4 separate regions of the Mus musculus genome follow, and regions 2, 3 and 4 are each reported to be linked to region 1. The links are microRNA targets in miRTarBase. Many come from high-throughput screens and were not tested one by one. Region 1 holds a microRNA gene; each other region holds the end of a gene's coding sequence.
The links. Region 1 holds the annotated microRNA mmu-miR-450b-5p (UUUUGCAGUAUGUUCCUGAAUA, at 2,263-2,284, shown strand). A microRNA usually pairs through its seed, bases 2 to 8, with sites in the 3' UTR of a target mRNA and lowers its output. Matches are read on the target gene's strand: a 7mer-m8 pairs with bases 2 to 8, a 7mer-A1 pairs with bases 2 to 7 and ends in A, and an 8mer does both.

Region 1 (7,119 bases):
CCTCTGTTCACTTACGGCCCCAACTGCTTTCATAGATTTGTTGTTTACAACTTTGAGAGATAAGTAAGGCAGACAAAGTTTCGAGAGACCTGAGGATTCTGAAGATGAAACCTGGGAAACTGCATCATGCAGACTTCATGCTGTGCCAGGTAACATTCCTGCCTGGCCATCAGAAGCTTACACCATAGTGATTAGGACAGAAAATGGAGCTGAACTAGTGTGTTTGGTTAGAAAAGGTCTAGTTGAAACTGTCTAGTCCTAAGAAGGACGAGTGAGAGTCTAACTGCTGGACACTTCCTAACTGAGGCTCAAGATTGACTTCATGATTAAGTAATGACTGTAAGTCACCTACCCATGCATGATTCAATGTGTACAAGCTTAAAAATTGTAAAGTGAATTCACTTTAAAGCTTTGATCCTTTCTATAGACTCAAGTAAATTAAGGGAGCAAATATGAACTAACCATAGAGATTAATTTAGTGGCATCCTCAAAAGAACGTTTTTAGTCATTGTGAATAATCATAAAAACTACCTAGAAACTTAGAAACATTCTTAAGATAACAAGCTTTTAAAAATCAAGGCCACAGAATTACACTAACTCTGGTGGCTGAAAGTAGAGTAGAAACTGGAAAGAAACTGCAAAACAAAGAGACTTTTTAAAAACAGAATTTGTAGTAGGTTGGTTAGCTGCTTATTTGTTTTGTTTTTTTTTCCCCATCTTCACAGTTTTGCTGTTTCTTTGTTTTGTTGTGCTTTGATTTGTGTCCCATTGTGAAATGCTACTCGCTAAAAGGTCTTTAAGGGTACTGGGAGATCCAGAAATTTGAGGTTACACATGCAGGGATCTCAGACGTCTCGGGGATCATCATGTCACGAGATACCACTGTGCCCTTGTGACAGATTGATAACTGAAAGGTCTGGGAGCCACTCCTCTTCCTAAGAATTGGTGGGGTGAGTATTACAGAGATGAGAGGTCAGGAGAGGACTGAGCCCTAGGCAAGGAGGAAAGGGGTTGCCATGGAGTGGGGGAGGGTATGGGTTGTGTTTTTATAGAATGAGAAGGGTTTTATTAATTTGCATTTCTATTCAGTCCACTGAAGCCTAGACAGGACATATGGTTTTATATATAGGCTAAAATATTAAAACTATGTTTTTCCTCAAACAAGAAAAACATTAGCTGTAAGCTTTAGAAAAACAGGTTACCTTAAAAATGTGGAGTCATATAAATAGCCATGAAGATAAATATACAAGCCACGGAAAGTCACGGAAAATGAAAAAACATCAGGATGTTTATTACTATTTATTTATTTATTTATTTATTTTTGAGGCAAGATCTTATGTTACCCAGACTCAAACTTGTGTAGCAGAGGCTCATGTTGAATTCCTTCCCCTCCTAATTCCCCCTCCCAAGGGCTGGCATTATAAGTGTATGCCATCATACCTGCTTGCAATTCTTTTTTTTTTTTTTTTTTTTGAGACTAGGCCTCACTAACTTGCTCATGCTGGCTTTAAATCACTCTCTAGGCCTGCCAGGAGGAATCTGCATCTGTGGCTCATTTGCCTCACCATCTATGTCACTGGGGTTACCACCTCCCTTCACTTCAGTCATTTTGAGGATAAAATGACTTATTAATAGTAAAGGGTTGCATAAATAAAATATGCTCTTCTAAGACAATGTGATAGGATGCTATCATTAAGATTGATATTTCTGAAAATAATTTTTGTGACATAAAGATGTGCCACAAACACTAATAAAAAGCGTTTAATGATAAACATGCAAAATATTTTCTTCTCCGTTTTAATTTTACATACATGGGATCAATATACAGATATAAGGCTAAGAGAACAGATCAAAATATTATAGTTATCCTGAGTTGTGCTTTAATGTTATTGAACAAATATGCTGGGGACTGATGCTGTGGTTGAATGATAGAGGAAGGAGAAAGGCAAACCAAGATGCTGAACTATTTTTGCGATGTGTTCCTAATATGTACTATGAGTATATTGGGGATGCTTTGCATTCATGGTTCTGCATCCATCATATGGACAGTCACCTCCAAGCTGTAGCACCACCAGTGACCAAAGAGAGATACTGAGCTGTTTTTGCGATGTGTTCCTAATATGTGCTATAATTATATTGGGAACATTTTGCATAAATAGCTTTGTGTCAATACACAGGCAAAAGGTTGGAAGAAAGAAGCTGCAAGTCTAACCATAGTTGTTTATGGTTTGTTTTTATAATAGGAATCAGATACAGAATTATTTTTGCAGTATGTTCCTGAATACATAACATAAGCGTATTGGGAACATTTTGCATGCATAATTTTGTATCAATATATGGGGGGAAGACTAGGAAGAAACATGACAAAACTTGAACAGAACTTATGTCTCTGGTATTACAGGTGATGTTTATTGTTGTCTTTATATTTTTATTGTTTTTTTTTACCAATTATTGTGTAAACAAAATGTTTTTCTTTTATAGCAAAAGAATAAACTTATTTTATTTTAGTACTAGAGTCTACATTGATTTTGGAGGGTGGGGTGGGACTTGAAACAAGGTCACCTAATGTAATTAACTGTGGCTATAGCCTCAGTATATAGTGAGGCTGGCCTCACTCTCATAGAGAACTAGTTGCCTGCCTCTGCCTCCCAGAGTGCTGGAATTAATGGCAAGTGCCACATACTTGGCTTTACACTGATTTTTTTTTTTTTTTAATCGTGAAACCCTGACCCATGTATAGAGAAAGATTTCTATGCAGGCAGTGGTTGGCCTAGACCACACTTTCCAACTTGTCTAGGAAAAGCCTACAGGACCACCATAAGGTCTGCCCTTCATACGTACATGTGCGCAAAAGACTCAAATACACTTTTTAAAAACTGATAATTATATTTGAGTTTTCGGGAGGTAGATCCTTAGGAATCTAACTGAATTGGGGAGCCCCAGGTCCCAGTGAGAGACCTTGTCTCAAAAAACCAAGGTGGGGATCTCTTGCGGAATGATATCTGAGGTTGACTCCTGGCCTCTATGCATTCACACACATGTCCAAGTATAAAAACACATTTACACACACAAACATCACACACTAAAAGAAAGAAATAAAATAAAAACACAACTGTAACGGCCAGGTGTGGTAGCTCAAGCCTTGTAATCAGAGCTCCAGGAGCTGGGGGAGGGTGTTTGCTCTCACTCTGTAGTGAGAGCCTCTCTCAAACCTCTGGGTCCACACAGAGTAATACCAGTGACTGCTAAGCAGACCGATGGCTCTTATCTAATCAAACACTCTAAACACAGAGAGAGTTGAAAGGGGCTTATTTTCTCCCAGGAGCAATTCAGGAAGGTGGCACTTGGATGATTGCTCCTGGCCTCAAGACACACTGGCTAGTTTGGGAAATGCCTGAGCCAGGGAAAGACCTTCCAGAAGGCCCACTCATGAATGACAGATGCCAGCAACTGGCTGTAGTTCCCCATCTACTGTCCATCCATCTAAATCCCTGGATGTTCCTTTGAGTACAGGAGACCTCCCAGTTCAGCTTTCCCTCTTCTTTCTTAGTAAGAGAGATGGAACTATATCTGGGGACTTAGTACAACCATGGTTTGACTGGTTCCTCTCAGGAGTATTTTTGGTTTCTTGGGATTTTGTTACTGTTGTGCCATTTTATTGGCATTTGTGGGTATGTGAGGTGGAGGGCTATGTGCACTCTGACTCACTTGTGGACATCACAGGACGTGTGGGAGTCAGTTTCCTCCTTCCACCATGTAGATTCCTGGGATTGAACTCAGGTCCCTTAGCTAAGGGGCAAGCTCCATTACCCACTGAGCCATCTTGCTATCCCCTCCTAAAGGCTTTATTAATGTTTCTCAGATTTGACACATTAGAAGAGGAGCTAGAGTCCACTCTGAGCCATTTATAAACACTCCAGGAAAACTCTCCCCCAAGAGCTAAAGCACTGTAGCAAAATCCGTATATTCCCTCAAGCAGACCTAGTGCAGTGGGAGAGATGCAGTCATTCACAAAGGTACTGGGAGATCATTCATCCCACAGAGCCTCACGCCCCACCCGTCTGCTTTAGAGCAACCACACAGCCAGACATATCCTTGGCAATGGGTTTTTCATAAACATTTGACTCTGCCACATTTAGTTAGAAACATTTTTCCTGGGAAGGGAGGATAGGAGAGAAGTGGGAGTTAAGATGAACCGGAGCCAGAGAGACTTTGGATGCACAAATCCCTTGCTCTGTATGGTTGAAAGCAGAAATAGGCAGGGTCTTGTGACCTTCTTCCATGCCAGGCCCAATCTCACAGAAAACTTCCTTCTACCCTGAATGATGAAAGCGACCTCCTTCCACATAAACCTCACTCTGGTCCTTGCTAGGCAAGGATTATGAAAAGGGAGAAGAGCCAAGGTGGGACCCTTCCTGAAATGGGAAGTCTCACCTCTGGGGCGGAGAAAGTAATAACTCCATCAATTTAATCACTGAGCTCCAGGCTCTCTCATTTAGCAGTGGACTAAAGTGGAGACTTGCATTTCCGAATCAGAATATCCTAGAATGTGGCGGATGGAGACAGCATGCCTCTTAGTTGGGAGGATGCCAAGCGGCCCCCGGAGTGGGGGTGGTGCAGAAGGGGGGAGGGTTTCCCTTTCTAACAAACCAGTCCTCCCTCGGTGCTCAGAAGAGGAAATGCAGTTGCAGGGAGAGGAAATAACTCCCAGCTAAGTCTTGCAAAGAACTGGTGGCCAACTTGAGTCTTGATCTACAGGCCTTTTTCTACTATAATACACTGGACCTAAAGGACAGACAGGGGTGACTTTAGAAGACAGTGGGAGGCATGTGGGACTTGAGGAACACCTTCAAAGGTGGGTGGGGCTGGAAGGGCCAGAGAAAATGAGGGAGTGAATTTCAAGCAGAGGAAGATGACAGGGGCACAGGCAGAGGCAGGAACAGATGGCTTCTGTCACAGAGCAGTCAGGAGCGTCTGGAGGAACCTGTCAAGGACAAATCCAGTTTCCAAATTCGGGCTGGGCTATACCCTGAGGGTGGAACTGTATCTTGGGGAGTGGGGAGTGCAAAATGCCCCCAGAAAACGATGGCACGAATTCCCAGAATGCAGACTTGATTCAGTAGTGAGAGATAAATTTACAGCAGTTTCTCTATTCAAAGAAGGGCAGATTAAAAAGAAAAAAAAAGCAGCTAGGCTCTCAAAGACCATTTCCAACTTTTGTATTTGTCTTGGGCTTCTCCAGCTCCTACCAGGCCAGCTTCATCCCGAGGGGAGAATTCAGGCCCCCAACTCCAGACATTTGGCTTTCCATCTGTTACTGCTGCCAAGGCTCTAGCCTCCAGGTCTTGTAACAGTTTGGGAAGGGGCTCTTTGCCTTCATAATATATCCCTCCCCGATCATAATCATGAGACTCTGGAAAAACTGTCAGTCATAGTAAATAGCCAAGCCTCTCCCACAGGACTCCAGCAGACAATCCTAACACCTTTTCCTTTTTCTATTGATTGGCCTAGAATCAGTTCATGTGACCGTAGCCTAGCTAGTCAGTGTACTTGCTACGAATAGGTGGTGGTAGTGGTGGTGGTGGTGGTAGTTGTGCTGTTTTGAGGATTTTGAAACAGGATCTCACAATGTAGCTCTGGCTAGTCTTGAACTTGCTATTTAAACCAGGCTGGCCTCGAATTCAGAGATCCCCCTGCCTCTGCCTCCCAGTGCTGGGATTAAAGGCCCAAATCACCATGCCTGTCTTTAGATTTGTATCTGTCCATTAAATACTGAATCAGAGAATCTCTCTTTTGGGGGGCAGTTTTTACCTGTAGAATTGTATCTAGCAGAGTCCTCCTTCTCATCTCTGAATTCTTGCCTCAGTTTCCTCTTTTATAGAATGAAGATTTGACAAAGTGGTCTATCTTGCTCACCACCATAGGACAGAAAGACAAATGGCACAGAGGACAGTGGCAATGATAGAGAGTAGAGATTCGAGAGGGAGGGAGAGAAAGCAGAGAGAGGGTTAGGAACGAGAGAGGGGAAAATGGGGGAAAGGGAGAAACTGAGTCCCCAGACAGAAGCTGCCCTGTGGTCAACTCCACTGTCTCTGTCAGTTGCTACAATGTGGTTTAGACTTCTTTTAAAAACTACTTTATAGCCCGGCAGTGGTGGCCCACACCTTTAATCCCAGCACTTGGGAGGCAGAGGCAGGCAGATTTCTGAGTTCAAGGCCAGCCTGGTCTACAAAGTGAATTCCAGGACAGCCAAGGCTATACAGAGAAACCCTGTCTCGAAAAACAAACAAACAAACAAACAAACACCCAAAAACAAAACTACTTTATTCGTTCATTCAACAAACATAACTGCCATGCTCTCCTGTCCAAGGACTAAGCAGGTTGGTCTTGCTTAATTTCTGAGGTCAGGAAAGTGGAGGGATACATAGCTGTAGTGTAGCCGACCAAGCACTTTCTGTGGTAGGCTCCATTCTGGGTCCAAATATGGAAAGGAACCAAGGTGTTCTTTCCAGACCTGCTTTCCTGCTGCATAAGGGCTAGATGGAACAGTGGTGCCTGTCAAGTAATAAAAGATTTGCTACTATAAGGACGACTAAAAACAATCTCTGGGTGAAGATTACCCAGAAGAATAATAACACATTCCTTCTAAATGTCCAGATTTGAAATCATCCCTGTTCATTGTCAGTAAAAATCGAAAAGCCAAAGAGTTTTGTTTTGGGGTTTGGGGACTTTTCAATTTTTAAAAAAAAATTATTTTATTTTATTTTATAGCTGTTTTTACCCACATATATATATGTGCACCATGTATATGCCTGGCTCCTGCTGAGGTCAGAAGAAGGCATTGAATCCCCTTGAACTGGAGTTTCTGATGTCTGTGAGCCACCATGTTGGAGGTGGGAACAAAACCCAGGTCCTCTGTAAGAGCAATAAGTGCTATTGAGCCATCTGTCCAACCCCTTGTTTGTTTGTTTTTTCGGTTGCATTTTGTTTACATTGTGTGAACAAGTGCATGCGTGTGCATGTGGCACTTGTGGAGGCCACAGAAGAAATCTGGGGGTACTCCTTCCTCCTTCCATCATTCACTCAGGAAATCGAACTCAGCTCCTCGGGCTTCGTAGC
Region 2 (7,119 bases), not on the chromosome of region 1:
GAATTGATGAGAATGAAGATTTTCAACTTAAAGGGCCAGCTAATATCTTCAACAAAATAATAGAAGAAAACTTCCCAAACATAAAAAAAGAGATGCCCATGATCATACAAGAAGCCTACAGAACTCCAAATAGACTGGACCAGAAAAGAAATTTCTCCCGACACATAATAATCAGAACAACAAATGCACTAAATAAAGATAGAATATTAAAAGCAGTAAGGGAGAAAGGTCAAGTAACATATAAAGGAAGGCCTATCAGAATTACACCAGACTTTTCACCAGAGACTATGAAAGCCAGAAGAGCCTGGACAGATGTTATACAGACACTAAGAGAACACAAATGCCAGCCCAGGCTACTATACCCGGCCAAACTCTCAATTACCATAGATGGAGAAACCAAAGTATTCCACGACAAAACCAAATTCACACATTATCTCTCCACGAATCCAGCCCTTCAAAGGATAATAACAGAAAAGAAGCAATACAAGGACGGAAATCACGCCCTAGAACAACCAAGAAAGTAATCATTCAACAAACCAAAAAGAAGACAGCCACAAGAACAGAATGCCAACTCTAACAACAAAAATAAAAGGGAGCAACAATTACTTTTCCTTAATATCTCTTAATATCAATGGACTCAATTCCCCAATAAAAAGACATAGACTAACAGACTGGCTACACAAACAGGACCCAACATTCTGCTGCTTACAGGAAACCCATCTCAGGGAAAAAGACAGACACTACCTCAGAGTGAAAGGCTGGAAAACAATTTTCCAAGCAAATGGACTGAAGAAACAAGCTGGAGTAGCCATTTTAATATCGGATAAAATCGACTTCCAACCCAAAGTTATCAAAAAAGACAAGGAGGGACACTTCATACTCATCAAAGGTAAAATCCTCCAAGAGGAACTCTCAATTCTGAATATCTACGCACCAAATGCAAGGGCAGCCACATTCATTAGAGACACTTTAGTAAAGCTCAAAGCATACATTGCACCTCACACAATAATAGTGGGAGACTTCAACACACCACTTTCTTCAAAGGACAGATCGTGGAAACAGAAACTAAACAGGGACACAGTGAAACTAACAGAAGTTATGAAACAAATGGACCTGACAGATATCTACAGAACATTTTATCCTAAAACAAAAGGATATACCTTCTTCTCAGCACCTCACGGGACCTTCTCCAAAATTGACCATATAATTGGTCACAAAACAGGCCTCAATAGATACAAAAATATTGAAATTGTCCCATGTATCCTATCAGACCACCATGGCCTAAGACTGATCTTCAATAACAACATAAATAATGGAAAGCCAACATTCACGTGGAAACTGAATAACACTCTTCTCAATGATACCTTGGTCAAGGAAGGAATAAAGAAAGAAATTAAAGACTTTTTAGAGTTTAATGAAAATGAAGCCACAACGTACACAAACCTATGGGACACAATGAAAGCATTTCTAAGAGGGAAACTCATAGCTCTGAGTGCCTCCAAGAAGAAACGGGAGACAGCACATACTAGCAGCTTGACAACACATCTAAAAGCCCTAGAAAAAAAGGAAGCAAATTCACCCAAGAGGAGTAGACAGCAGGAAATAATCAAACTCAGGGGTGAAATCAACCAAGTGGAAACAAGAAGAACTATTCAAAGAATTAACCAAACGAGGAGTTGGTTCTTTGAGAAAATCAACAAGATAGATAAACCCTTAGCTAGACTCACTAGAGGGCACAGAGACAAAATCCTAATTAACAAAATCAGAACTGAAAAGGGAGACATAACAACAGATCCTGAAGAAATCCAAAACACCATCAGATCCTTCTACAAAAGGCTATACTCAACAAAACTGGAAAACCTGGATGAAATGGACAAATTTCTGGACAGATACCAGGTACCAAAGTTGAATCAGGATCAAGTTGACCATCTAAACAGTCCCATATCACCTAAAGAAATAGAAGCAGTTATTAATAGTCTCCCAACCAAAAAAAGCCCAGGACCAGATGGGTTTAGTGCAGAGTTCTATCAGACCTTCAAAGAAGATCTAATTCCAATTCTGCACAAACTATTTCACAAAATAGAAGTAGAAGGTACTCTACCCAACTCATTTTATGAAGCCACTATTACTCTGATACCTAAACCACAGAAAGATCCAACAAAGATAGAGAACTTCAGACCAATTTCTCTTATGAATATCGATGCAAAAATCCTCAATAAAATTCTCGCTAACCGAATCCAAGAACACATTAAAGCAATCATCCATCCTGACCAAGTAGGTTTTATTCCAGGGATGCAGGGATGGTTTAATATGCGAAAATCCATCAATGTAATCCATTATATAAACAAACTCAAAGACAAAAACCACATGATCATCTCGTTAGATGCAGAAAAAGCATTTGACAAGATCCAACACCCATTCATGATAAAAGTTTTGGAAAGATCAGGAATTCAAGGCCCATACCTAAACATGATAAAAGCAATCTACAGCAAACCAGTAGCCAACATCAAAGTAAATGGAGAGAAGCTGGAAGCAATCCCACTAAAATCAGGGACTAGACAAGGCTGCCCACTTTCTCCCTACCTTTTCAACATAGTACTTGAAGTATTAGCCAGAGCAATTCGACAACAAAAGGAGATCAAGGGGATACAAATTGGAAAAGAGGAAGTCAAAATATCACTTTTTGCAGATGATATGATAGTATATATAAGTGACCCTAAAAATTCTACCAGAGAACTCCTAAACCTGATAAACAGCTTCGGTGAAGTAGCTGGATATAAAATAAACTCAAACAAGTCAATGGCCTTTCTCTATACAAAGAATAAACAGGCTGAGAAAGAAATTAGGGAAACAACACCCTTCTCAATAGTCACAAATAATATAAAATATCTTGGCGTGACTCTAACTAAGGAAGTGAAAGATCTGTATGATAAAAACTTCAAATCTCTGAAGAAAGAAATTAAGGAAGATCTCAGAAGATGGAAAGATCTCCCATGCTCATGGATTGGCAGGATCAACATTGTAAAAATGGCTATCTTGCCAAAAGCAATTTACAGATTCAATGCAATCCCCATCAAAATTCCAACTCAATTCTTCAACGAATTAGAAAGAGCAATCTGCAAATTCATCTGGAATAACAAAAAACCTAGGATAGCAAAAGCTCTTCTCAAGGATAAAAGAACCTCTGGTGGAATCACCATGCCGGACCTAAAACTGTACTACAGAGCAATTGTGATAAAAACTGCATGGTACTGGTATAGTGACAGACAAGTAGACCAATGGAATAGAATTGAAGACCCAGAGATGAATCCACACACCTATGGTCACTTGATCTTTGACAAGGGAGCTAAAACCATCCAGTGGAAGAAAGACAGCATTTTCAACAAATGGTGCTGGCACAACTGGCGGTTATCATGTAGAAGAATGCGAATTGATCCATTTCTATCTCCTTGTACAATGGTCAAATCTAAGTGGATTAAGGAACTCCACATAAAACCAGAGACACTGAAACTTATAGAGGAGAAAGTAGGGAAAAGCCTCGAAGATATGGGTACAGGGGAAAAATTCCTGAATAGAACAGCAATGGCTTGTGCTGTAAGATCAAGAATCGATAAATGAGACCTCATAAAATTGCAAAGCTTCTGCAAAGCAAAAGACACCGTCAATAAGACAAAAAGGCCACCAACAGATTGGGAAAGGTCTTTACCTATCCCAAATCAGATAGGGGACTAATATCCAATATATATAAAGAACTCAAGAAGGTGGACTCCAGAAAATCAAATAACCCCATTAAAAAATGGGGCTCAGGGCTGAACAAAGAATTCTCACCTGAGGAATACCGAATGGCAGAGAAACACCTGAAAAAATGTTCAACATCCTTAATCATCAGGGAAATGCAAATCAAAACAACACTGAGATTCCACTTCACTCCAGTCAGAATGGCTAAGATCAAAAACTCAGGTACAGCAGATGTTGGCGAGGATGTGGAGAAAGGGGAACACTCCTCCATTATTGGTGGGATTGCAAGCTTGTACAACCACTCTGGAAATCAGTCTGGCGGTTCCTCAGAAAATTGGACATAGTACTACCGGAGGATCCCGCAATACCTCTCCTGGGCATATATCCAGAAGATGTCCCAACCGGTAAGAAGAACACATGCTCCACTATGTTCATAGCAGCCTTGTTTATAATAGCCAGAAGCTGGAAAGAACCCAGATGCCCCTCAACAGAGGAATGGATACAGAAAATGTGGTACATTTACACAATGGAATACTACTCAGCTATTAAAAAGAATGAATTTATGAAATTCCTAGGCAAATGGATGGACCTGGAGGGTATCATCCTGAGTGAAGTAACCCAATCACAAAGGAACTCGCACAATATGTACTCACTGATAAGTGGATAATAGCCCAGAAACTTAGGATACCCAAGATATAAGATACAACTTGCCAAACGCATGAAATTCAAGAAGAACGAAGACCAAAGTGTGGACACTTTACCCTTTCTTAGAAATGTGAACAAAACACCCATAGAAGGAGTTACAGAGACAAAATTTGGAGCTGTGACGAAAGGTTGGACCATCTAGTGACTGCCATATGCAGGGATCCATCCCATAATCAGCTTCCAAATGCTGACACCATTGCATACACTAGCAAGATTTCGCTGAAAGATCCCAGTTATAGCTCTCTCTTGTGAGACTATGCCGGGGCCTAGCAAACACAGAAGTGGATGATCACAGTCAGCTAATGGATGGATCACAGGGCTCCCAATGGAGGAGCTAGAGAAATTACCCAAGGAGTTATAGGGAACTGCAACCCTATAGGTGGAACAACATTATGAACTAACCAGTAACCGGGAGCTCTTGTCTTTAGCTGCATATGTATCAAAAGATGGCCTAGTTGGCCATCACTGCAAAGAGAGGCCCATTGGACTTGCAAACTTTATATGCCCCAGTACAGGGGAACGCCAGGGCCAAAAAAGTGGAGTGGGTGGGTAGGGGATTGGGGGGATGGGTATGGGGGACCTTTGGGATAGCATTGAAAATGTAAATGAGGAAAATACCTAATTAAAAAAAAAAGAAACCATAAAGGGAGCCAGATACCCTAGAACTGAAGTTATAATGATTATAAACCACCATATGGATGTGAGAATCAAGCTCCAGTGCTCTGGAATAGCAGCAGAGGTATCTTTCCAGACCAATACTTCCTGTATCTTGTTTTTTTTTTCCATTGCTTAATTAATTTATTTATTCACTTTACATCCCAACTGCAGCCCCACTCTCTCATAACAATCTCCCCACTCATACAGACCCTCCCATTACCACCCCCTCCACTTGACCTCTGAGAAGAGGGAAGTTACTTCCTGAGTCTTAAGGAGCCTCCTTTAGGATTTCATGAGTCTTAACAAGCTTTCCTCTGGGTTGAAATGTTTCAATTCAGAGATAACTGCTACATAAATACTAAAAGAGAGAGAGAGAGAGAGAGAGAGAGAGAGAGAGAGAGAGAGAGAGAGAGAGAGAGAGAGAGAAAGGGAGAAAAAAAACACTAAAAGAAAATCAAGTAGTTCCTGGATAGTGACACAACACAACCACAGATAAGAGAATGGGAAATATATCTTCTTCTACTTTTACTTTATTTCAGTCATGTAAATTGAAGCTATTGGATCAAGGATCAGATGACATTTTCTATATTTCTAGATAATGAACTTCAATGCAAGAAAAGCTTGGAGGAAGATATGACACAAATTCTTTATCTTGAATGATAAAGCAACTGAAGGGTCCAGATCCATACATGAGGGGTGAAGTTCACAAACTACCTAAGGTAGAGAAAGAAGCCCGGAGAAGCCAGGGATAGATCAACACAGCAGCAGAGGGCTTCCAGGAAGGATGCTGCAGTCACTTGGCTTGGGCTAGGGATTTGGGGAATTCTCTCTTTCTCTCTCTCTCTCTCTCTCTCTCTCTCTCTCTCTCTCTCTCTCTCTCTCTCTCTCTCTCTCTCTGATTTTGCAGGGGATTAAATATTCGCAGGGATCAGCTTGTACTAAACCTTGATAATCCAGATTTGCAGTTTAGCTCAGTTCCTCCAGGGTTATCTCACACTAGGGCAGGGACAGGGATGTTTACAGGGGGAGTGACAGACTCTGCTTCTGGGGAACTGGAAAAACACAACTGTGAATGCCTCTTCCTGAGACATTTCTAAACTGATATTTATTAGGATTTTCATTATAACCCTGTGACTAGTGGGACACTCTCTTACCAAGAGAAGGAAATGGGGTCGTTTTTAGAGTAGTCAGGGGAAAGATAAGCTATGTGTGTAACTTTTTGAAAGGCTTTCTTTTCTTTCTTTTGGACTGTGAAAAAGTTCCCACACCATCTTTTAACCAAGGGAGTCATGGAAGGAGAATGTGGTGGGAAAGAGATTAGGAAATGATGTCATAGCTTCTGGCATGCTTGAGTGGCACTAGATCCTAGTATAATTCAGATTTATATACATAGAGTCTTCCTTCTAAACTTGCTTCTATATATGTCTCTGCTCCCAAGAAGCAAAGCAAGTGTTTGCAGTTGCACCCCAGTCCATACTGGGGCAAGCCTACTCCCACCCTCCATCCTTTAAGGTATTCTGGGTATCCAGTGCTCTACAAGTGCTCAGCCATGTTGACAAGGCAGCAGGTGTCTGGAGCTTCTATTACCTCTTCAACGAGACATCATCTTCACAAACTCTGAAGAAAGAAAGAAAAGAAAACAACCATTCCTGTGAGGCTCCTCTGTAAAGCACCTGGAGTTACTTTGGGGAGCTTCTCCTATGTTGCAGGCAATGATATTAGTCATTGAACTCTCAGGACATAGTGTTCATAAAATACTAAGAGCTTATAAACAGAAATTATTAGTACTTTATTTCATGGTGTGTATGTGTGTTTATGTATGTTATATGAATGTATAGACAGATGCACATGCACCTGTGCATGCATGTAGAGGGCACAGGAGGATGCCCTGTGTCCTTCTGTAATCCTCCTTATTTTATTCCTTTGAAAATGGGTCTCTCACTGCACCTGGGGCTTTATTAGTTGTTGCTGATGTTGATGTTGTTTTAATGTGTATTTGTATTTTGCATGCATGTATAC
Region 3 (7,119 bases), not on the chromosome of region 1:
ATTAAAGACAAAACAAGACAAAACAACAACGACAAAACCACTGATCACAGTGGCACACACTTGTAATCCCAATGCTAGGGAGACAGAGACAGCTGGCCCCTGGCACCTGCAGGCAGGCCAACCAGTCTGGCCGATTTAACCAGCTCCAGGCCAGTGAGAGACCCTGTTTTAAAATAAGGTGAGAACAGCATGTAAGGTTAACCTGAGAACTCCAATCGTGTGTGTACGCACTGGCGCGTGAGCCGCCACACTCTGCACCTGCACACACAAGCACACACATGCACACAAAGAAAGACATCTGTTCATAACACCATTAGGAAACTTGTAAAATATAAACTAACCCAAACAAAACCTTGACTTATTAAAATCCAAAAGTGTTACATAACTGACAACGTGCAAATAAAACAACTTTCCTACCATTAAAAAAAACAAAACAAAACAAAAAAACAACTACAAATGAGCAGAACGCATCACAGTGTTAAAGAGTCCTAGCCTACATAAGCAGATCACGGGCTCCTGTCCACAAATCAATTCACAAATCCTTATCAGAATAACAGTTCTGCTACTCTTCTTTAAAATACATACATAAGCAAGAAAATATTCCACACTTACATGTTACACATGACACACTTACAACTGACCACACAAAACCGTTTTAAATCAGATGGCTGGCAAAACATGGGCCAGTTTTAAAGTAGAGCATTGGATGGGGTGGGGTGGTAAGTGAATCAAAATCAGTTTGAATTACCAAAGATTTTCACCTACAACACACATACATCATCTTTTAGGAAACTAGCCTACAAACAGGGAACCCCTCAAGCACACTACTCTACTGACCCCGAGAAGTCTTGAATAAAAATGAGGTTCCCTCTACAGGTAGTGGGTGTTAAAAAGAAGCAAGGAGACCAGTGTAGTGGCATACACCTTTAATGCCAGCACTTTAAGGGGCCAAGACAGGTATCACTATGAGTTTGAGGCCAGTCTGGTCTACATACAGTGTTTCAGGACAGCCAGGCCTTCATAAAGACACCCTGTCTCAAAAAAACAAAAAACCAGAAACCTCAAAAACCTGTTGATCAGAGAGTCAACACCAATCCTGAGGAAAGACCATGAGCCACCCACCGGAACCCCACTTACTCATCACCATCGGGACACAGGCCGGTGGCCTCATCGTACTTGGAGCAGTATATGTCCGGGCTGTAGTTGAAGGTGCCATCGCGTCGTCGGAGCGGTCTGCGACGACGCTGATTTAGGAAATGCCAATGGAAACAGGTGAACGGCCTGTGCTGGCTGCACTTATGCTGCAAAAACAGGGAGCACTGCTCTGTCCTAAACTCCTTTAGATACCTAAAAAGACAAACAGCGTTGCGGGCCGCAGCCACCGCCGGCTGGAGGCCCCTGGGATGCGGCGGGGCAGGGTCCCAGACGAGAAGCATCCCCCACCCCCGGCAATACACACACACACACACACACACACACACACACACACTGAGCGATCCTGACTGCCATGGCCCGGTACCCTCCTTTTTTAAAAGCACCCCGGGTGTCACTTCCCAACTCGGAGACCAGGTAACTCCAGTCAGGCAGACTCTCCGTTCCCTGACCCCAAATACCACTTCCCAGTCCCCAGATAAGAAGATTCCCGGACACGAGGCATAGACCTCCTCTTAGCAGGCCATCACCAACTCTGATCCCAGGTAACTCTACAGAAGTACACTCCATTCTCTGCCCCCTTCTAGTCCCTGACCCCTGGAGCCACCTCTCAATCCTCAGTCCCGGTCTCCCGCTCGACTACCTTCATAGGTTCCAGATGGACTGCAAGCGCCACCCGCCCACACCAGGCGCAACCCCTCTTCTGCGCCGCAGAAACGACCCCCGGGCTCACAACCAAGCGGCCACCGGACTCTAGGTGCGGCTCCGCCCCCAGCCCAGAGGTCACCCCAGACCCCGGAACCGCCTCTCAACCTCAGGCAGCGACTGCTCGAGTCCGGATGGCCGTGCGCCCACCTCCAGCCCAGGCGCGGCCCTGAGCTACGAACGCAGGCGCTGTTCCCCAGACTCCAGTCTGGCGCGCGGGGTCGCCGGAGACCAGGAGCAAGTCCAGCCCCCAAGCCAGGGGTCACCGAAAACCCTGGGCGCTGCCACTCCACCTTAGGCGGCGGCCCGCGCCTGGACGGCGTGACCCGCAAGAGCTGGCGGCGGGGGCGCGGGCGCGGGCGGGGCGCACCCACAGCGGCGACACCGGGGCCCGTGGCGCACGCGGGCCGCTGCTTTGCGCCGCAGCGCCCAGAAGGCCACGGACCGCAGCCCAGGCACTGACCTGTAGTGGGTTGGTTTCTCTGTCTGCGGGGGGGACCCGCTCAGCGCCGCCGCCGCCGCTTTCGAAACCGACGGCATTTTCAGTCAAAACAATGCAGCGCGCATGCGCCGCGCCGGCGCCCCCGGATCTCCCCCCCGCACCGAGCCCCCTGCGCCCCCCGCCGCGCCGGCCACACCCCCGGGCACGCCACGCCGGCCACGCCCCCACCGACCCCTCGCCCACGCGCGCTGTGCGGCGGGGGTGACACACAGGTTCTGCCGGCCCACCACGGCAGCAAGTTACAGGCGCAAGGCGGGACACGCCCGTTGGTGTAGAGTCCCCATGATGGCCTCTGCGTCCAGGGCTGCTGTTGGGCACAGGTTTCTTTGAACTGGAAAAAGTCTATAATTAGACTGTGACGATGGTCGCCCCTTTATTAAATTTGTGAATTTAAGGATAATCCGAGTGTGAATTCTGTTGAGCCACTTTTTTAAAAACACAGCGTAAGATGCTGCCAGATGAGCCCATCGGGTAAAGGATGTACAGGGTGGTCAGTAATCAGACTGATCTGGGGTCCGCAGAATGCTAACTGCACGTGGCGGGCAGGACTCGCAAGTGCTAGGATGAATTCGGGAGAACCCAGGGCTAGCATTCACTGGTGTGTAAAGTGACCACAGCTCCTCTGCTAACTGCGGGTGTGCTCTGAGGGATAAAGTCTGAGTAGCACAGCCACAAGTGTTCTGAAAGGAATGGGCAGAAAAGAGAGGGATGTTTTCAGAAAGGAGGATTACAGAAAACCTATCCCATTTCCAGAAACACGATCTAAAATATTAACAGAGAGACATACACGGTCCAGGTATGTATGCTATATTTTAAAGTACTAGTAAGGTAAAATTACCATTTGCTGGTAGGATTACTGACTTCTTCATATGACATTTTTGTAGACAAATTCTTTGAGTTGTTGACAACTTTGGAGAGTGAGTTGGTTTGGTTTGGGTGCTAGAGGTAGAACCCGGAGCCATGTGCGTGCCCGGACCCAGGTCCATGCCGGCTAAGCACTTATCCCTGAGCATTTCCCCTAGCCCACAGACCCTGAAGTTAACTTAGTTTAAAGGACTTATTTTAATGGTTGCACAAGCATGTGGATGGATAGTGAGCTGTAGGCAGTCCCAGCAAACAGAAACATTGTTTTTTCAAAGATCAAATAGAAGAATGAGCAAGCAGGGAAGGGCAGACAGGGGAACCTACAGAGGAATAAATGTGTCTCAGACTGCTGAGGGATAGGGAATGAAAACTAGGTCAACCCCCAAGTCCAGCCTGGAGAAACACACAAGACAACCTAAGGAATCTGAGAGAGAGAGAGGGAGAGAAAGAGAGAGAGAGGGAGAGAGAGAGAGAGAGAGAGAGAGAAGCTGGCTCTGTAAGGTGTGACAGAGAGCAAATAGCAGTGATGGTGGAACTCAGCGACCTTGACTGTGGACATGGGCAAAGGTCTCTCATCAAAAGATGTGTTTTATTCCTCTGCAGACATCACCTGTGACACCCACATAAGGGCCAGACGTGTCCTTTTATTGAAGCTGGTACTCGAGGGCTATGGCTCAGAACAGAACTAACAGGTTTTTATCTGTGTAACAGCTCACTTCCAACACTACTGAGCCTTTCCATTTTCAAGAGCTTACACAAAGTGGCTGTTGGGGCTGGAGAAATTGCTCACAGTGAATGGCTCCTCTTCCAGAGGACCCAAGTTCAGTTCCCAGAACCTACATGGTTGCTCATAGCCATTTGTATTTCCAGTTCCAGGGAATCTGACATCCTCTTCTTACCTGTATAGGCAACAGACATGTATGTGATGCACATACATACACATAAAGTAAATCTAATTTTGTAAGCGTCAGTTACGTTAACTCCTCCTCCCTCAAAAGAACATGTTTTATTCAATCATTTCTTTCTGCCCAACAGTTTATCTACTGTCTTGTACATGCAGCTGGCTTATAGTTAGTTACAGGCCCTCTCCCTACCTGATATTTGCTGGGCACTCACCCAGAGAATTCATTGGGCTGAAAACAATAGGAAAAACACAAGCTACAGTCTATTTGGGAAATTGGAAAAGCATAGCACAAAAAATAAATAAATAAATAAAATAAACATTTAAGTAACCCTTTAGCTAACACACCTATTCTCCTATCCGTAAAATAGATGTGAAACTCAGATCTGGTGGTGCTCGCCTTTGATCCCACCACTCAGGAGGCGGACGCAGCCTCTGCCTCTGAGTTCAAGGCCAGCCAGGGATACAGCCAGAATTCCAGGATGGCCAGGGCTACATAAAGAAACCTTGTCTTGAAAAATTAGAAAGGGGGAAGGAAAGAAAAAAAACGAGAAAGCAGAGGTGTAGTGAGTGTCCCCACTTATTCTGCTCACGAGTTCAAATGCCCACATCACTTCAGATAAGTTATCAGCCTGGCAGCACTGAGAACCCACTGCATGAAATGTAACATTTTTTTTTTTTTGCAAAAGCAATTCTATGTGAGCTGGAAACAGACCTCATTGGTAGGATAGCACAATAGACTCCTGAGTTCAATCACAACACTGTGAAAAAGACAGAAACAAACAAACAAAAAAAACCAACCCACTATATTATTGATGTTTTGTTTTGTTTGAGACAGGCCCTCCCTACGTAGCCCAAGCAGACCCCAAACTTAGGATCCTCCTGCCTCAGTTTCATAAGTGTTGAGATGACAAGCATACCCTACCACTTCTGTCAAGTTTTTAAGTTCTCATGTGGGAATGAAGAGCAGAAGAGAAAAAAAAAAAAAAAAAGATGGCAGCAGAAGCAGGAAGCAGGCTGATATCTAAGTCTACAGCAAGGCTGGTTTACATAGCCAGTTCTAGGCCTGCCAGAGCTAAATAGGGGGACTGTGTTTCAAAACAAAAAAACCAAAGCCTACTTGATGATGAAAGGGGAGGTGAGAAAATTGAGTTCATTAGACTTTACCAAATGTATTTTCCATTTGTTAGTTTTTAAAATAGCTTCAACTGATGTTGCACACATATAGGTAATTACACTTCAGCAGTTAGTCTGTCTCGGAAAGCGAATGAACTGCAGGTAACACCTCCACCAGATGAACGCTGGAAACATGATTAGGCTGTATGAACACATCATAACTCAAGAGCATAAGGTGCACCCAAAACCTTTTCTAGGAACCTCAAAAGTTCTATGGACGTAATCACTGGGCATTGGTGTTCGGCAAAGATCAGATTTCAAGCCTCCAACTTTGTGCTGTGTTCTTGTGTCTCAGCGCCAAGAGCGCCATCCAAGTCCTTTAAGCAACGAGGACATGCGCAGAACCAGTTCAGAAATCGTCAAATTCAACAACGAAAGGACGGCTGCCTAGTCCCTTCCTCAGCACGCACCCTGTTACGTTCTAGCCCCGTAGAGGGCCGGAGCTTCAAGCTCCTCCGGAGGACCTTCCGGCTCCTCCTCGTCCTCCTCTTCCAACACCTGCCTCAACCACAGGTCCATGCCGCTCTCCTCCCTCTGGTAGCACCATACAACCAGAGCCACGAGTGTGAGGGTGAGCGGCAGCACTTTCCACCAGGGCCGCTGCTGCGGCTTCCCCAGGGAATGCTCCACGGTCCAGCGGATCGGGGTGGCTTTGCTGCCGGAAAATTGGATCGGGAGGTTGGGGTCGTCGTCCTCCTCTTCCCTGTCTGCAGGCTGAGCTGGAGACCGGCCACGGGGCGGCGGATGCAAACTTCGCGAAGCCCAGCCCACGAGCCGCAGAGCCCGGACCGCTCTGGAAGAGAGACAGCAGTAAGCGTCCCGGAGCCACGGCCACCTCCCACCCTCACGCACCGGCACCTCACGGCTCTCACCCCGCAGCCCGTGAGCACAGGACACTGTTCATAGCGACCTCGACTCGCACGCTGAGGCGCACCGCGCTTTCGTCACTTCCGTCGCACAAAACCGGAAGCCGAACTTCACATCCAATTTCACGACTACAAAACGTGGGTCCAGCGGCGCAACGGAAATGATGCATTTCCTCTCGCTAGCTCTTCCGTCTCCGGCCTCGCCCTGATCACTATCTGGACGACTTACGGGTTTGTGTCGTTCTGGGTCCTTCCATTGAGACCTGATCCGGCGCGGCGGATTGAAAGTGAAGCAGACTCGGTTCTCCGAAGAGCTTGGCCCGAGGCTGTTTAGTGTGATGCCCAAGGACTTGAGAACCCGTGGCATCTGCTGGCTTCTTTCCAGGACCATCGTCCGGGAGGGACTTGGTCCCTGTTCTCCATGAGCGCATCTTCCAGTCTTAGCGCTCCATCCGAGCTCTCAGGCACGGAGGCGGGAAACCCTCGCGCCTTAAACGCCTCCCGGCCTGGCCGTCCCTTTGAAAAGGCTTGTAGAAACATCACCTCCACCTAGACTATCCCAGGTCCCCAGAATCCATTTGCCTTCAGGAAGAATGGAAATGGCTCTGTGTAGACCATAGGCTGACCAGATCTCGGACAGCCTACAGGGAGGCGATTCTGAAATTACACTCCCATAGCTAACGTGCACCTGGCCTTTTGATCTGGAAGCTGATTGAAGCTCTGCATCGTCAGAATCAGCCAGGCAACCTTGTAATCCCAATACTGTGGAGGCAGATAGAAGAGAATCACTGGTCCCAAGTACTACACAGCTTAACATCAACCCAATTTAAAATACAAAAAAAAAAAAAAAAAAAAGAGGATCAGCCCTAAAGGTGTCTGTCTTCTTAGTACCTGTGCTGTGTAGAAGCTAGAGTGAGTTATATTACACCTGGTCTTACCGCAGGGCTCAATAA
Region 4 (7,119 bases), not on the chromosome of region 1:
CATGGTGGGGGCACCGGGGAACATTCTTGCTCTACTAAGCAGGAAGTGGGATGGCTTGATGAGAAACTAAAGAGATGGACATCTGGCAGTCACACAGGATGTACTACCGAAGACCTAGCTGCAAAACTTCAGCTGGAGGCCCACGTGCAAATGGAAGAGTTGACCGTGGTTAGATACCCGGAGGGATCCCTGACCTCCGTTTTATAATGGGATAAATGAAAACTTAAGGCTATACAAGCAGAAACACCCACCTGAGATACTAAGTTCCCATCTCAGAAACTCTTCCTTCAGAGCCTTTTTTCAAGAGATATTCAACTTCTCTGCATGGCAAGTCAGGGAGCATGAGTTTGGGGGTGGGAGGAACCAAGGGTTCCTCTGTGCCATGAAACTCACACATCTGGATGCAGATGTGCCTACAGCTTATGAAACTCATGTTTGGTTGGAATAATGGAATCTTTGGTCCTTGGTTTTATGAAAGGCAATTATTTTTTCACAATCTAGCTAACGTAGACATTAGAAAATAACTTCAAGCTGGGACTAATGGCACAATGGTAAGTTAAAGACTAGATGGAGCACTCAACACCCTCTGAATATCCTGGAGTCGGTAAGCTCCCACATCAGACAAGATGTCGGGGTAAGGAGGGTGAGGCAAACCCAGAGACGTAAGGCTGAAGCTTCACTCTAGACATCAGGTCTCCTGACTGACACATGCCAATCTTAATCCCAAAGGCTGAGAAAGTGACTTTGGACACTTCCTAGAGATGGACCGCATGCTAAGCCACATAGCCCTAAATGCAAAATCCTACTTCAAGGGTTGGTAAGGAGAATCAGCCAGTGATGGCTGGAGTGCCACCTACCAAAAGATATTATAACTTGATTTTTGAGACTTAACTCTACCCTCTGTGATTTTTTTCGCCATCGAAACAGCCCTGGACGAACCAGGTCACCTGCTGCTCCCTCTCTGTAGCTACAGTACCTTCATCCAGCACACTTCACCCTAGTATGGCTTGACACACACTTCCTCACAGAAACACCAAGGACATATGGCGATGCCGATGATGGAACAGAAACTGACTCCAGATTGTCTACACAGCAAGACTCTTATGTAAACTTTGTTAACATCTCTCAGAGAGCACGGACTTTAGCTACCCTGGGGTCCCCAGCAGGGTCAGGAGCAGGAAATGTCATTTGTTTAGAACAAATGGTGAGTTAGCAGCCCTCCCTGGCACCATCCCTCAACCATACTACTAGAATACAAGTGGCTCAAGAAAACCTACCCTCGGTCCAGTCTTATGGCCAAAGACATTCGCCGAGGAATCCACCTGGTCCCTGCCGCCATCAGCTCCTCCCACCACTCTCTTCAGATTAGCCATGAGCGACTTACAGACTGCACTGAGCCCACCAACATGGCTTACTTGGAGGAAACAACCCGTATTACCCTTTTAATTAATTAATTATATTATTATTTTTGCAACAAGCTTAAGGCTCTTTTCCGAACTCCATCAACTGCCACACAGTGAGAATTTATGGGGGGGGGGATCTTGAACTACACGTGTAGTTTTGAAAGGTCAGAAGGATTATTGAACCTAATGGTAAGGCTTATTCACAAATTCAATACATTTTCAAATTAGAATTCAAACGTAATGACTTCTAGAGAAAAAAAAATTGACTTGATTTCTTAATAATGTATGACTATCTGATTTTAAATTAAAAAAATTAAAGACCAAAAAAAAAAAAAACCCCAAAACATTGGCACCAAACCAATATGAGATATATTTCACCCCCAAAGGAAAAGGTGATATTAATGGAAAAGATTGCCTAAAACGCATGTCCTAATTTACCACAGAAATATAAAAGTTTATATTCTGAAAATATATTTACTGTATTAAGGTCTATAAGCATTTCAACCAAAACCTGCAGAAAGAATGATGTGACAATTAGCAACAACAAAAAACACACATGCAAGACAACCCCCGCCCCGCCCCAAAGATCTATCTACAAAACCAAAGTGTACATTTCCAAGATTTTACAAAACCATTTACAGGGAATAAAATAAAATACTCAAGAAATCTCATGTGGAGTCTTAAATACTGTGTATATTAGTGAGGGCATCTTGGCTCATACATACAACAGATCTCAGTATCTTAATAAAGAAACACAGAAGAGAAGCAAGCCCTCCTTCTAAACGTCCCCATAGGAAGATTGGTGGATGTCTCTATTTTTAATTTTTATTTTTTTACAAAAAAAAAAAACTTCAACAGAAATTAGATTGAAAAAGAGTGGGGATAGGACTAAATTCCAAACTAGAGAGAGAGAGAGAGAGAGAGAGAGAGAGAGAGAGAGAGAGAGAGAGAGAATTTTGTTTTTTAACAAACCTTTTAAGAGGATTTTGGAAACCAGCAGTTAGTAGTGAGGGATAGGACTCAGCGTTCAGTCAAGGCTATTTGTAAAAGAGGGATTCGGAGATTTAAATATGCCTTGCCCAGTGTCTCCTGTCATTATTTTCCCGTCCTCAGGTTGAACTTCACTCAGGGAAATCATCTTTTCCCGCTTCCGAGAGGATATTTCCCAGTTTGATTTATGCCACAGAGTAAGATTTTACGTCATTTCCCCATTTTCCCCCAGTCCCCGCCTTTCTCTGCATATGTGTTTCCCTCGGACTTTACTTCTGCCCAGTAAAGGGTCACCCAAGAACACCCACATTAGGTGGTGGCTTCCCAGTGCTGAGGTGGTCTGGCCATCTTAACCATAACTCTTCAAAAGTCGCCTGGGATCTGAGCACTTAACCCCAGCCGGGTCATATGGGAGTTGCCACCACCAAGGTTGTGGTAAACAGAGGAGAGTCTCAAATGGCTTGCTAGAGGGAACCTTGACTTAGAAGAGGAAGCCTCTACCTCTCACTCATAGCTGCCCTTCCAAGTTCAATAGGGACACATACACCAGGCCTGCAAAGACATCTAAAATTCCTCAAAAGATTTACTTGGGCCCTAGGAAAGGGTGGTAGGAAAAGGAACAAGGAGAGTAACAGGTCAAGCAAAAGGACCTCATGGGAGGAGAGAGGACAATGGGGTACAAAGTAAAAAGATGAGAGAGCCAGCACCTGACCTCAATAAAGCTTTGGGGGTAACCTGGACACAACCACTGAATTTTCCATCCCAGCTCAATCTGCTATATGTGGGTCACCTGGATTCCAACTCCACACTACCCAAACAGCCAGCCTGAAAATGCCAACTCCTGTGGTTTGGCCAGCCCAGGAGGTTGACTAAATGCCTTGTGTCCATGTGGCAGATCTACCTCCTTCCAACAGACGGAACACAGTCTTTAAAAACAAGGGGTGTAAATCCCACCTCAGAAATGGTCAGTGTCTACCTCAGTCATCACAGATCCTCAGTATGTTCGGAAGTGTGGCGCCCATCAAATGGCCAAGAGAGAAAGCATATCTGGTTGTATGCTCAGGAGTCAAAGATGACTGCTGATCACAGGGATTTCTAAACATCCCGTGCTATTTCTAGAGAGAATCCTGACAACTTGCTTCCCTATGGACAAAACTGGCTTGATCAGAAGCTAATCAGAAAGGTTTGGGGGAGGTGTTTCCTATAGAGGAGGCAGCGATCTGAAAGAGTTACTCAGACATGTAAAGAACAGGAGATGTCTTAAGGGCGTGGGGTTAAGTGTACATGGAGCTCATCCCAGCAGAGAAGGGACAAGAGGCTCAGGCTCCTTAATTCTCTACACCCCAGTCAGCCCACAGCTCCTACAGTGTTCTATAGGGACTCCAGGGGGCCACATGCTCCAATTTCTTTTTCCTGTGACCAAATACAGCCAAGGTGACTGTACTCTCAGGCTCCCCATGGCCAAGGTGGCACAGGCTGGTGGAGAATAGGGACTTAAACTCTTTTCTTCCTGAACCCTTCTGAGCTCTAAAGCATTTCTATAGAGCAAAGCAAGGTCATTCTAAGGCCCACAAAGCCATGTGCATACGCGGGAGCCATAGTCTAGAGCCAGGTCACTAATTCTCATGCAAACGTTCAACTGTCTGCATCCTTCAGAGCTTAGGGCCATGTATCCCTCCCACTTGTGACTGGGGCAGCTATTCCCATTCAAGGGCAGCCAAAGAGAACCATCTCTACTTTTGCAGCCCACCTCCCCTCCACAAGCTGTGCAGACTCTGCGCTGTGCCCGGCTGTCACCAAGGAAGGGCTGAGAAAGGCTGGGAAACTCAGAGGGAATTGAAGAGAAAGAACAGCGGTCAAGGTTGTCACCCATCTAGAACTAGCCTGGAACCCCACGCACGCCCCATGGTCTAATTTTCTCTAAGCACATGATCTCAAATAGGTGTGAGGTCCCAACCACAACGACAGGTCCCTTCCATTTCCCATCTCTTCATCAACTCACACCCAAACTCTCCCCCAGTGCAGACTTCCAACTGGATGACATAAAGTCAGCTACTGGAGGCTCCAGTAGGCTAGGGCCAGTGGGGCAAGGAGACCTACATGCTGGATAAGGCTTTGCTTGTATTCTCTCAGCTTAAAAAAGAAAAAACAAAAATTAAAGATTTATTGTTCAGGTTTGGACTGAGTTTTGTTTTTTTCCTCAACACCCCCAGAAGGCCAACCAAGACAGTAAAGTTCATATGGAAGGAAAAGTCTTGGAAATCCAAGTTCACTTATTTATCCTAGAGCAAAAAAAAAAAAAAAAAAAAAGTCTCACCCTAGGCAATATATCATCCTAAAGACGGGCTGCTCGCCATCCCTTCCTAACATCACGACTTTAGGGACGGGGCTGACACAGAGCAGAGTCCACCATTCTCCTGAATGACAGAGACTAAGAGAGAAAATGCCACCGTGACTTGTCCTTGAAGATTAGAGAACTGGCATTTTTGTCACATGAGCCGCACACAGAGGGTCTGGCACAGGCTTGTGCCTTTTTAAAATCCCTTCTCTTCTCTCTTTCCACGTGGCTCACCGCAAGAACGCACCAAACGGCGTGCACCTTGAATAGTATTTGGTCCAGGGTGGTATGAAAATAAGATCTGTGTGAACAATAGGCTTCATAATATATAAACAAAAATAAATAAATAAAATAAACCCAAATAAAGAAAAAAATTTCCTAGTAAGTCATGTTCTTCTGTTTTTTTTTCTTTTTTTTTTGCAAAACTAGCTTTACATATAATACACATAAATTATCAGAATTTCCACTTACACGTTGTTTTAAAAATATATATTTAACAAAACGTTTCTAAATGTACAATATCTGGGTTTGTAAATCACTCAGTTGGGTATTAAGACCAAGCCCTAAGAGTCACACCGAGTTGCATTGGAGAGAAGACTGAAGCCAGGCCTATGTAGTCAAGAGCTTACCGCACGCTCGTTGGTCTGTGGGTTCCCTAAGACGATCGTTCCCTGGTCCCAGATCACATAACCAGAGAACTGTGATGGCCTCATCTCCAAGTTGGAGGCACTGTGTAGACACAGACTGAGTCGGGAGGATGAGGGAGGTTGGTCTTCCCCCTTCTGGACCAAGGTAGGAGAGTTTCAGCTAGTGGGGGAAAGGTCGACAGGGCCTGGCGGAGCGCTTAGAAGATGGATCCCTGGAAGGCTCTATGGCTGGCTGGGACAGGGTGCACAGGGAGGCCAAGGGTGCTGTGTTTGCCACCTTTACACAAAATCAAACCAATGAGGAACAACCGAAGGGCACGAGGAATGGATACAACCGTAGGTGTGAAGACACACCCCGACAAACTCTTGGCTAGGGTGGACCCTGGGCTCCGATGGTAGAAACACACACAGGGCCCGGCTGGGAGTCTGAGACCCTTGAGCAAGTGGGGGCAGGTGAGCCGGGGCCCTTCAGACTTCATAGATTTTGTCCTGCAGATAGCTGAACAGGGAGTCCAGGCCCTTGGAGGAGCTCCAGAGCTGCTTCAGCATGACGCACTCCTTCTCGTTCACCTCCTCCAGCACTGACTTCAGGAAGCTTCGGACCAGGCATTTGGACTCCTCCAAAACCTGGAAAGAAACGCATGCTGGGTTAGCTCTCCCTGGGGCTGAGCACTGTCCTGAGGGGCTTCAGGTGGTCAGGGTGTTGAGCCTGTGACCATGAGATGGCTATGGGAGAGAAGCAGGGTACTCGGGGGCCTTGCCTAAGGTGACATATGATCGGTACCGTGTGTGTGTGTGTGTGTGTGTGTGTGTGTGTATGTGTATATTATATGTATATATGTGTGTATATATATGTATATATGTGTGTATATATATGTATATATATACACACATATATATATATATTCACACACACACACACACACACACACACACACACACACACACATATATATATATATATACTCCTTCCCAGCACAGGTTCTCATATATACATATATACACATACATACATACACACACACACACACACACACACACACACACACACACACATTATACATGTAGTTTCTGGAATATCAATCGCAGGTCTCCATGCTTACACAACAAGCACTTTGCCCATGGGGCTGAGTCCACACAGCCTCTTGGTGCTATTTGCCTATGGGTTTCATGACCAAGTTTGCAAACCATTTTTTGACGCGGCCCCATGGATGATGAACAGAGTCATTTTCATGACCTGTCAGGAAGAATAACCAAACCCAAGGGTCCCTATGAACTCAGAAGGAGGTGATGAGCTGATCTCATAATGGTCGTTGGAGTCGTTGGAGTCCCCACAGGATGCTCTTTTAGGCTCAGCTGTTAACAGTGGTGGTCACTGCAGTCCAGGGTAACAAGGACCATTAGCAGTCACCACCATAAGAATGGTTGCAGCCTGTAACAATCGTGGCAGTGAATAATAACTGTGTAAATTGGAGAAATGAATCACACTGCACCATAGTAACAATTTTCAGCAAGCGCAGAAATGGTTGTGGTTAGGAGCAATAATAAACTTAGTAATCAACATAAAACCCACACCAGTGAGCAATGATGTAGTGAGATGGCAATGAGTAAGCTCACTAATACTAGAGAAATGAGTGCTAGTAATCGTAGTGCCGAACAACAATAATTGTAGCATTAAAACTGCACGAGATGAACAGGCTTCATGGACATATTTTTTTTTCTGATCTCTTTGGCTTCTCTA

Region 2: miRTarBase lists Cabp5 as a target of mmu-miR-450b-5p. Seed matches in the 3' UTR shown: 7mer-m8 at 6,553-6,559, 7mer-m8 at 6,059-6,065 and 8mer at 6,000-6,007.
Region 3: miRTarBase lists BC003965 as a target of mmu-miR-450b-5p. Seed matches in the 3' UTR shown: 7mer-A1 at 4,803-4,809.
Region 4: the mRNA of Cdyl2 is a reported target of mmu-miR-450b-5p. Seed matches in the 3' UTR shown: 7mer-A1 at 5,147-5,153, 8mer at 4,131-4,138 and 7mer-A1 at 1,467-1,473.

What each region holds. Positions count from the first base shown.
Region 1 is chrX:53,043,209-53,050,327 of GRCm38, reverse strand. Mir450b (microRNA 450b) reads left to right here and starts at 2,250; the gene lies at 2,250-2,331. It overlaps Mir450-1 (microRNA 450-1), which reads left to right and starts at 2,084; the gene lies at 2,084-2,174. It overlaps Mir450-2 (microRNA 450-2), which reads left to right and starts at 1,961; the gene lies at 1,961-2,029. Mir542 (microRNA 542) reads left to right here and starts at 841; the gene lies at 841-925.
Region 2 is chr7:13,407,381-13,414,499 of GRCm38, reverse strand. It overlaps Cabp5 (calcium binding protein 5), which reads right to left. Exons shown (of 6, transcript NM_013877.3): 6 at 5,622-6,717. The coding sequence ends at 6,692. Among named protein-coding and RNA genes, the nearest start is that of Cabp5, 13 kb to the right of the region's middle.
Region 3 is chr17:25,183,694-25,190,812 of GRCm38, reverse strand. BC003965 (cDNA sequence BC003965) reads right to left here and starts at 6,252. Exons shown (of 2, transcript NM_183150.2): 1 at 6,173-6,252; 2 at 3,151-6,093. The coding sequence starts at 6,204. The coding sequence ends at 5,715. Unkl (unkempt family like zinc finger) reads right to left here and starts at 2,413. Exons shown (of 15, transcript NM_001197024.1): 1 at 2,321-2,413; 2 at 1,138-1,347. The coding sequence starts at 2,397. Gm52286 (a long non-coding RNA gene) reads left to right here and starts at 1,343. Exons shown (of 2, transcript XR_003952239.1): 1 at 1,343-1,697; 2 at 1,804-2,759.
Region 4 is chr8:116,569,283-116,576,401 of GRCm38, forward strand. Cdyl2 (chromodomain protein, Y chromosome-like 2) reads right to left here. Exons shown (of 7, transcript NM_029441.3): 7 at 1-6,005. The coding sequence ends at 5,847. Among named protein-coding and RNA genes, the nearest start is that of Gm31367, 33 kb to the right of the region's middle.